Nothobranchius furzeri: one gene and its partner. The protein of the gene in region 2 purifies or fractionates together with the protein of the main gene of each other region. This does not show direct contact. Links are inferred from orthologs where the notes say so. Each region holds a gene or a part of one and is shown on either strand. Other genes may lie near its edges.

What was found.
Region 1: the proteins of usp13 (region 2) and bag6 purify together in Homo sapiens (affinity purification with western blotting; 3 studies listed by BioGRID and IntAct, with this or other methods). This does not show direct contact. The link is inferred for Nothobranchius furzeri from reciprocal best matches to the Homo sapiens genes USP13 and BAG6.

What each region holds. Positions count from the first base shown.
Region 1 is NC_091745.1:60,787,559-60,791,380, reverse strand, and holds part of bag6 (large proline-rich protein BAG6), read right to left. Parts: intron 2,144-3,822; 5' UTR 2,134-2,143; coding exon 2,053-2,133; intron 1,838-2,052; coding exon 1,720-1,837; intron 1-1,719. UniProt on the Homo sapiens protein: ATP-independent molecular chaperone preventing the aggregation of misfolded and hydrophobic patches-containing proteins.
Region 2 is NC_091748.1:59,240,746-59,245,362, forward strand, and holds the start of usp13 (ubiquitin carboxyl-terminal hydrolase 13), read right to left. Parts: upstream 3,077-4,617; 5' UTR 2,801-3,076; coding exon 2,690-2,800; intron 365-2,689; coding exon 239-364; intron 1-238. UniProt on the Homo sapiens protein: Deubiquitinase that mediates deubiquitination of target proteins such as BECN1, MITF, SKP2 and USP10 and is involved in various processes such as autophagy, endoplasmic reticulum-associated degradation (ERAD), cell cycle progression or DNA damage response.

The DNA of each region.
Region 1 (3,822 bases), on a different chromosome or scaffold from region 2:
CATGGATTAAAACAGCAGCTAAATATCTCCAGTCAGCTGGTTTTTCACTAGTTGTTCACTGGACTCCAGCTTTAGGCGACAAGTCAGAGATGCACAATCAGCTAAAATGAGCTAATTAAACACAGAAAGGGTAGGTGTGACAGCTTTGCAAAGAGTTTTGATTACAGCCAAGACACAAGAATTTCAACTGAGCGTTTTGCTAAGGATTCCATGCAGTTTAGTAACAGTGAGTCTTAATTGTGTCCCCCATGTCAGGGCTGTCGCGGTTGAGGAATTCCTCCTGCGGTGATTCAGGGTGGCTTAATATTGCGGTGTGCGATATTATTGCAGCCCTTTTTTTTTTATTGCAGTACTATCTAAACATAATGTTTACACATTTAAAAAAGGTTAAAAATTGCCATGCCTTCTTTTATAACACTTTACTGAATGCAGATCAAAGGGCAGTAACAACACAGATCGCAGTAACGTTTGTTTCTCCGACAGTCGGAGTCCGACTGAACTTAAAAACAACAAAATTCAGGAGAAGGTTAAACTTTTAAATGCAAATTTGGCTGCAGCATCTAACAAATAAGAAACAAGTCCACATTTTGTTTAGTTGTTTAAAATCAAGCATAAAAAAATTACATGTACCGGGCGCGCGCGCGCCAGGGGGGTGGGGGGTGGGCGCACTATCATTTCACTTTCACACACACGAATGACGGTGATTTATAGCTCGGTAACGTCCTTGTTACCCACAAGCAAAACCAGCATGTTAACCATATACGGTTTGAGAGAGGATCTGAGAGGGGTGGCAACATTTCCAGCAACACTGAAAACCCTCTCGGATGGTGCGCTCGTTGCACTAACGCACACGTACTTGCGTGCGACTCTGGCGAGCAAAGGGAATCTCTCCCGGTTGTTGCTCCACCATGTCAGGGGGGTTTCTTTAGGGTGGATGCGTTCCTCCTGCAGGTAGCGAGTGAGCTCCAGCTCGGCTCAAACTCTCTTCAGGACGGTTGCAGAAGCAGTGCTTGTCTGGGACTTCAGCAGGTCTCCCAGCGTTTATTATTATTTTTTGCCGCTGGTGGCAGCTCTGTCTCGGCCAAGGACTCTGGCTGCGCAGCAGCTGACGTACTGAAAACCAAAGTGCTCCCAAAGGAGCGAAGTTGATACCAGTGCAGCCATCCTTCTCAACATGCATCACTGAGTTGAACCAAGTTCAGTAATCGCGGTGGCCCATGATGCAGCGCGGTGGGTTTCTTCATATTGCGATATTTCATTTTTGCGGTTACTGCGACAGCCCTACCCCATGTCCCACTTTAATTCCAATTTGGTTACCAACTCCTGTACAGAGCTGTCTGTCATCTTCTGATGCACACAAATGAAGTAGAAAACAACTGAGATGGTTTTGGTTTGAGGTGAGATACTTGTGTGAACTCTGATTTGCTCATTTTTCCTCATTTTCAAGCATCTCAGCAGGAAATCTCCTCAGGAAATTTAGATTCCTGATGAATATTCGGAGACATTTTAAAAACTCTTTCATGGATCTTGTTTGCAACTTGTCTCCCACAGTTGCAGCCCAGTGAGACAAATGTAATTAACCCACTCATAGTAATCACATCAACATAAATATCAGCATGAAACATATCACTAAGAATAACCCAAAAATTTTGATTTCTGTCTGTATAAAGGGATAAAATTATCTCCTGAGCTAAAGCTGAATGGAGTCAAAAGGTTTACTGTAATCTGCCAGCGTCCGTTCATCCTGCAGCACTCTGCCTTGGTAGATGAGTCTTTGTTTATCTACAGGGATGCCAACTGAGGGGGCAATGTGCTCCTTGAACTCTTTCACCGTCAGCTGCAAAATGATAGAACAAAATGTGTGAGTTTATCTCTTTTTAAGTGCCCAAGTACAGAAACATCATTCAAATAGAGCTGTGCTGCACCAGATTACAGCTAAACATCAGCTGAAGTCTTGACTGCAACACAATCATTACATCATGAGCTACAATAAGATACACAGACAAAATTATGAACCTCTGAGTAAAAGTGAAGCAGCAACTTTGCCGTTACCTGAGAACCAACCGTGTACGTTCTGCTCCGGGAGTCGAGTGTTTTCACCGTCACTTCTATGTCAGACGTTTGTTCTGCCATGGTGATCCTGCTTTAAAAATAAAAAGTTTATGTGAAATAGACTTCTAACGATTCCCTCGGACTGGTTACAGGACAAGTCAAAGATTTAATTTTATTAGTGAGTCAATTCTAATCTAATTCAATTAGTCAAAGTGGATGGACACACAGAATATGTCCAGTAGGGCTGCAACAAACGATTATTTGGATAATCGATTAATCGGATGGGGTCTCGACACGATTAATCGATTAATCGGATTACATGGGGAAATTTTTAAAAACTGCTAGGGAAACGTTATTTCTCTCCTTCCTTCACTTTATTTAACACAACATTATTAGAAAACAGTTCAATAGCAGAAAAACAACATGCCATCACCTAAATTGTCTTATAAGGTGTATAGACAGAGACCCTAAGCTACATCTATCTGTGACCTAAAATGCTTGGTCCAAGTTAAACAGCTTAAGGGCAATTCTCATCTGTTTTGTTTGATCTCATCTGTTGACATTTATTTTAAATGTAATTAAACATAGGCTGTGAATTAATCAAAATTGATCACTATTTCCAAAAATGACTGAAAAAATACCAAATAAAACAAAAGTAAATGAATGCCATCCTCCTTGCGATGATGCCCTGGGCAACTGCCATAAAGTCACATCAAGAAATGCTGCTGATCATTCCAATGATCCCAAATAGACTCACATTAGGCCACATGAAAGCAACTGAACCCAAAAATATATTAACCAGTATATAACTGCACTCTCACACAACACGCCTGCAGCAACAGTTAGGACTCCTCCCTCCCTTTTAAAAGCGTTTTTGCTTCTGAGGACATTGTGGTTGTAAAACCACACGCTAGTAGTCTGGCCCCGGTGTGATCAACCAGTTTCTGCGGGAATGTGACGGCGGAACCAGGGCCAGATTAACACTTTGTTGTACCCTGGGCAACAATATTCAAGGGCTCCATCATCACGACCCAAGGATCACCATAATGTGGTCACATACAGAATATTTTACTGTAATATGCAGTAAATATACTCAATACTTGAATGCCTGACAACACGTAACCCGCCCAGAGTAACCTTTGACCCACCTCGTGTGGACTGACCAATGAGGAGAGGGTCTTAACTTGAGGCCCTCTCTTCATTGGTTAGTCTGCATGAGACTGACTCTCAACTGACGTTCAGTCATAGGCAGCGAAGCGTCTCTGTGCAGTGCAAAAGCCCGGGTGGACAGTTTAATGTAGGGTGATCATATCTCCATTTCCAAACAAGAGGACAGGGGATCTGTGCCTATGACGTCACACTATGGCAACGCCACACAAACCATGTTGGGACCCATTTTTTGTAAGAACTAAATTAATATCAGATTCTGCCAATTAAAGGGCTCTAAAACAATTCATATGTAAATATTTTGCATATTTACTGCAAAATCTAATTTTTCTGCTTTAGTGCTGCAACAAGGTTTTATTAATAATAAATTATTATACCTTTTGTTTTACTACAGCATCGGTAAGCTTCCTATGCACAGATTATTAAGGATGCTTGTTTCAGCTGTGAGATTAGACGATAGGATCAATGAAAAAATAAGTTGTCACACACTCCATGGAAACTTTCAGAGAATCCACAAATAGTGGCTTTCAAATGGTTTTGTTACTTTTTGCAAGTTTATAAAAGAAGCAGATGAGACAGCATGTCTGATAATTTAGTTTTTCA
Region 2 (4,617 bases):
CAAAAGCCTTCCTCGTCATTAGCCAAGATGGATGAGCCCATGAACGTTAATTATCAGTGTGACGTAGATCTGAGTGGCTTTTAGAAGACTATTTTAAAATTTAGCCAGCACGTGAAACTCAGAGTCACTGATTATATTTCAAATAGAACAAGTAAAAAGCGGTTTCTCAGTGAACGTGGTCTTTAACAAAAGTACGGTAAACAGTAAAGAAAATCTCAAGGCTCAATGCAAAACGTACCTCTTTGACATGTCGTTTGAGGTGCATGTAAACACTCTGTCCTGTTTTGCGATAATGTCTCTCCACGTGTTCCCGTCCAAAGCCCAGGAATGTGTTCATGCACACATACAGGCCTCCCTCAGACTCCTGCAGAGCAAAACATTGTCAGGTGAGGAACTACAAGCACATGTGAAAAACTTTATATATTCCACATGGGAGCTTTTTCTTGCTGAGCAAAACAAAATGTACAAAGTGTATGAACTTATCAGTAGAGGAGGCTGCTTTATAAAAGATGGATGTATTTAAGATATCAGGTCACTTTTATTTTTATTTGTTCAAAACAAGAAAGAGAAATAATTATTTTCGGCATTAATGCAATTGAATGAGAATTTAAAATTGAGCAAAAACACTTTCCAGCTCAGTCATTTGGGAAAGATGTCCCAGCATGTTCACGTTAATCTGCAACAGAAGATCATTTTTACTGAGAAATCTAAAAAATGTGTCTCCTTTTACAGAACAACCAAGTTTAGCTAACATATATTACTCTCTCTCTCTCTCTGATCTTCTGTTTCACCTCAGAAGTTTTTAAGCTGTTAATTTTAACGAGAGAAGATCGTAATCAAAGAAGCAACTTCAGAAATTCATCCCACATATTATGCATTTTTATTTTAGGATCACTGAGGATCAGAAAGACACATTTATTAATTAAAATCCCTCTGTGAGTAGTTTACATCTCTCATGAATTACTGTGGAGCACCGTATAACTTCTCTGCCTCCGAGGGAAAGGGAAAACATCCTCCAGGTTTCACATGAGGACAAAATAACAGGAAAGCATCCCTTAAACCTGAAATCAGTATAGTGGGCGTCATCAACCCCAGTGTTAAACCTTTAAGCCCAGAGTGACATATGAGCCTCAACACTGGGAGGATAAAAATAAACCAGTCCGCAGGCCAACATGATGAACTCCAGACAGCTGAGTCACCTTTTAAAACGGTTACAGTCCAGATAATAGTGGAGGAAAGCTTTGAGAGCAAAATTTGTTACTTTTAAAGCACAAAAAATCTAACAAACCTAGAACAATGCTGCACATTCATACAATTCCAGTCTAATTCAAATGTTAGGTAACTACCTTCCTAATTACAGAAAGGGAACTGGTAAAATGTTAAATGGTCTGTATTTGATATACAACCCCCCCCCCCCCCCCCCCCCCAAGGTGCTTCACAACAAAATCGGCCACACACACACACACACACTCACACGCTGGTGATGACGAGCTACAGTTTAGCCACAGCTTCCCTGAGGCGCACTGATGGAAGCGAGGCTGCTGAACACAGGTGCCACCGGTCCCTCTGACCACCACCAGCTGGTACGGTAAGTGTCTTGCCCAAAGACACGAATGTGACAGACTGAGTGAGACACGATCCCACAACCTTCCAGTTATGACACCACACGGGCACCTAACTTCTCTGCTGCCATCGTTCCAAAAAAGGATTGGGTGCCAAAATATGCAAAATTTGGTCAGGAATAAAATCGAACTGATAACATAATTACAGCCCCTGGGGTGATTTTTGGGAATAAGCTGCCATCGTCCACACATGAGGCCATTAAGCACTGACACTAACACAAGGGAGCCTGAACAACCAGATTAGTCTAGAAATGCCTAAATAAACACTTTATTCTGCAAATGAACACAGCCTGGTGACGTCATTGCTGCAGTGGCGTTATTACATTATCTTAAAATAATGTGTGTGTGTGTGTGTGTGTGTGTGTGTGTGTGTGTGTGTGTGTGTGTACTTGTCCTCGTATGGTCAAGTGGACAAATGTTGACTTTAAACCTATAACTTGTGGACGTTTTCACGTTGTGGGGACATTTCCTTAATCCACACAATGCAGCACCAAGTTTTAGAGGTATGGTGAGTTAACTTTTAGTTTAGGGTTACAAAAAACCACCCATTGGTTAGGGTTAGGCATAGTGGAGTCACTAAATGAATGGAAGTCAATGGAGGTACACACAAACATATAAATACAGGTTCGTAAGTGTGTGTGTGTGTGTGGGGGGGGGGGCACAAAGGAAAACCCCATTAACCCGTTTAACTGTTATATAGACATTTACTGTCAAGTTCACATGACATGTGGCCACACACACACAAACACACACACACACACTCGACAGCGTGTGTTTTCCTGGCTCCCCACAGCAGGCTGTAAGTCATTCTACCTGAGGCACACATTTGCTCCCCAAACAAGCCTCCCAAGCAAGTCTCGGTGTGTGTGTGTGTGTGTGTGTGTGTGTGTGTGTGTGTGTGTGTGTGTGTGTGTGTGTGTGTGTGTGTGTGTGTGTGAGTGAGTGAGTGAGTGAGTGAGTGAGTGAGTGAGTGAGAGAGAGAGAGAGAGAGAGAGAGAGAGAGAGAGAGAGAGAGAGAGAGAGAGAGAGAGAGAGAGAGAGAGAGAGAGAGAAAGGAACCCACTTACGGGAGAGTCGAAGGAAAAGGCACACTCGCTCTTGAAAACCCTGTCTCCGATTTTAGGGACTCTGATGGTGGGCATGTAAGGGACCAGCAGCTCTCCCAGGTCTGCAGCCATCTTCGCATTCCTGCTTCTCCCAGCAGAGTGCCGCGGAGCCTCCGGAGCAGCGCTGTCACAGGAGCGGATGCTATTTTTAAAGCGCCCCGTCGCTACATTCCTGCAGCCAGGGAACGTGACGCTGAAAACCCCTACAGATAAAATGACAGAGCGGAGGGTGGCTGCTGCCTGGGCGACGACGTTAAGGGCACGGAGGTCGGTCCTCCTTTTGTTGTTGTTTTTTCTAATCGGAGAAACGTGGACCTGCGCAGAGATGACACACCTTCTGTAGCGACGCCGTTATGCTTCTCGAGGAGCCACGCCCACCTCAGAGGCGGATTTAAAGCAGATTTACTACGTTTTGGCCTCCTGCGTTCAGGGTTCAGAGGCGTGTCCAGGTCTTTTAAAATGTGTGTGTGTGTGTGTGTGTGTATGGTGGTGGTGGTGGTGGTGGGGGGGGGGGGGTTCCAGGTGGGGCACTTGTTTCACACAGGTTTCACATGAGCTCCACATTCTCTCTCCTCCTCTTCCTAGCAAGTCACTTCTTGGTTCATTACTGCCACCAACTGGAGTGAAGTGGGACTGAGTGAAAGTGAAAAAATTATGAATAATGATAATATTGAAACGTTCTGTGGCCCTGGAGCTAGAAACCAATGTTAAAGCTGCATTTACCTAAACCGTTTATTTTCTTATTTTTAACTCAAATTTGTAATCTTTCATCTGTTTATGAAATTTTATAATTTATGACTTCATTTTTTATGTTAATCTATTTCTGTTTTGAAATCGTTATGATTTTATGACTTTGTTTTGATCTATGAGAAGCACTTTGTGATTCCATGTCTGTGATAAGTGCTATATAAATAAACTATACTTAAAGGTACGTGTTACCACCAACTGTTTTAAAAAAAAACTTTTATCTGAATTTTTATCTCGTCTTTTATTTTATTAATACTGTACAGCACATTGGTCAGCTGGCATGCTGTTTTTAAATGTGCTTTATGAATAAACATGGTATGGTATGTTTTGGGGTTTTTAAACCCCAGGCCTTTGTGAACAGCATAAAATCAATTTCATGGACCTCAGTGGGGTGGCACCTGGAGTACATGTGCTACCCCAAGTCACTCCCTAGACACACCTCTGCCTGTACTCATGAAATGCCAGCTCATTTCAATTTTTTAAAGACTGCATTGTTCAGTGATTAAAAATACTGATATCTCTGCATTCCGCTGGATTTCTTAATATTTTAAAACATTAAATAATTTTACACAACAAAGATTTGCATTCTGATTTGTCCCATCACACCTGAATGAATTAATTTGTCCAACTGACAGCTGTCACCTAAATATGTTTGGATTTTTAAAGTGAATTAAATAAATGATGTCGTTTTATTTAGTTCTGATTCTGTTGAGAATTTTCACTTAGAATGTGATTTTCATAAATCACATTACACTTTAAAATGTATAAACCCTATGTAGAAAGAAAGAACGTTCACAGGGGAAATTTGGATCTAAATAAAATATAAAATCAGTCTGTTCACCCAGTTTTAGATATTCCAATTTCAAGAATCAAAGATTAAATTAAAACAGCTAACTCTTTGGATATTTTCTCCTTGGCGGTGTGATCTGTGTAAGCCCAAACTCCTGAATGTTTATTCTTATGACCATTTCCAAGTATCACATTATCAAATTACATCAAGTCAGGCTGGGTCCTTTTTCAGCCAACTGAAAATAAACTAGGTGACAAGTTGACACCTACACAGGTGTACTTTTGAGTGAAAACCCCTTACTATAAAAACATTTACACTGTTCCCTTTATCTAAATTACAATTGTTTAAATTA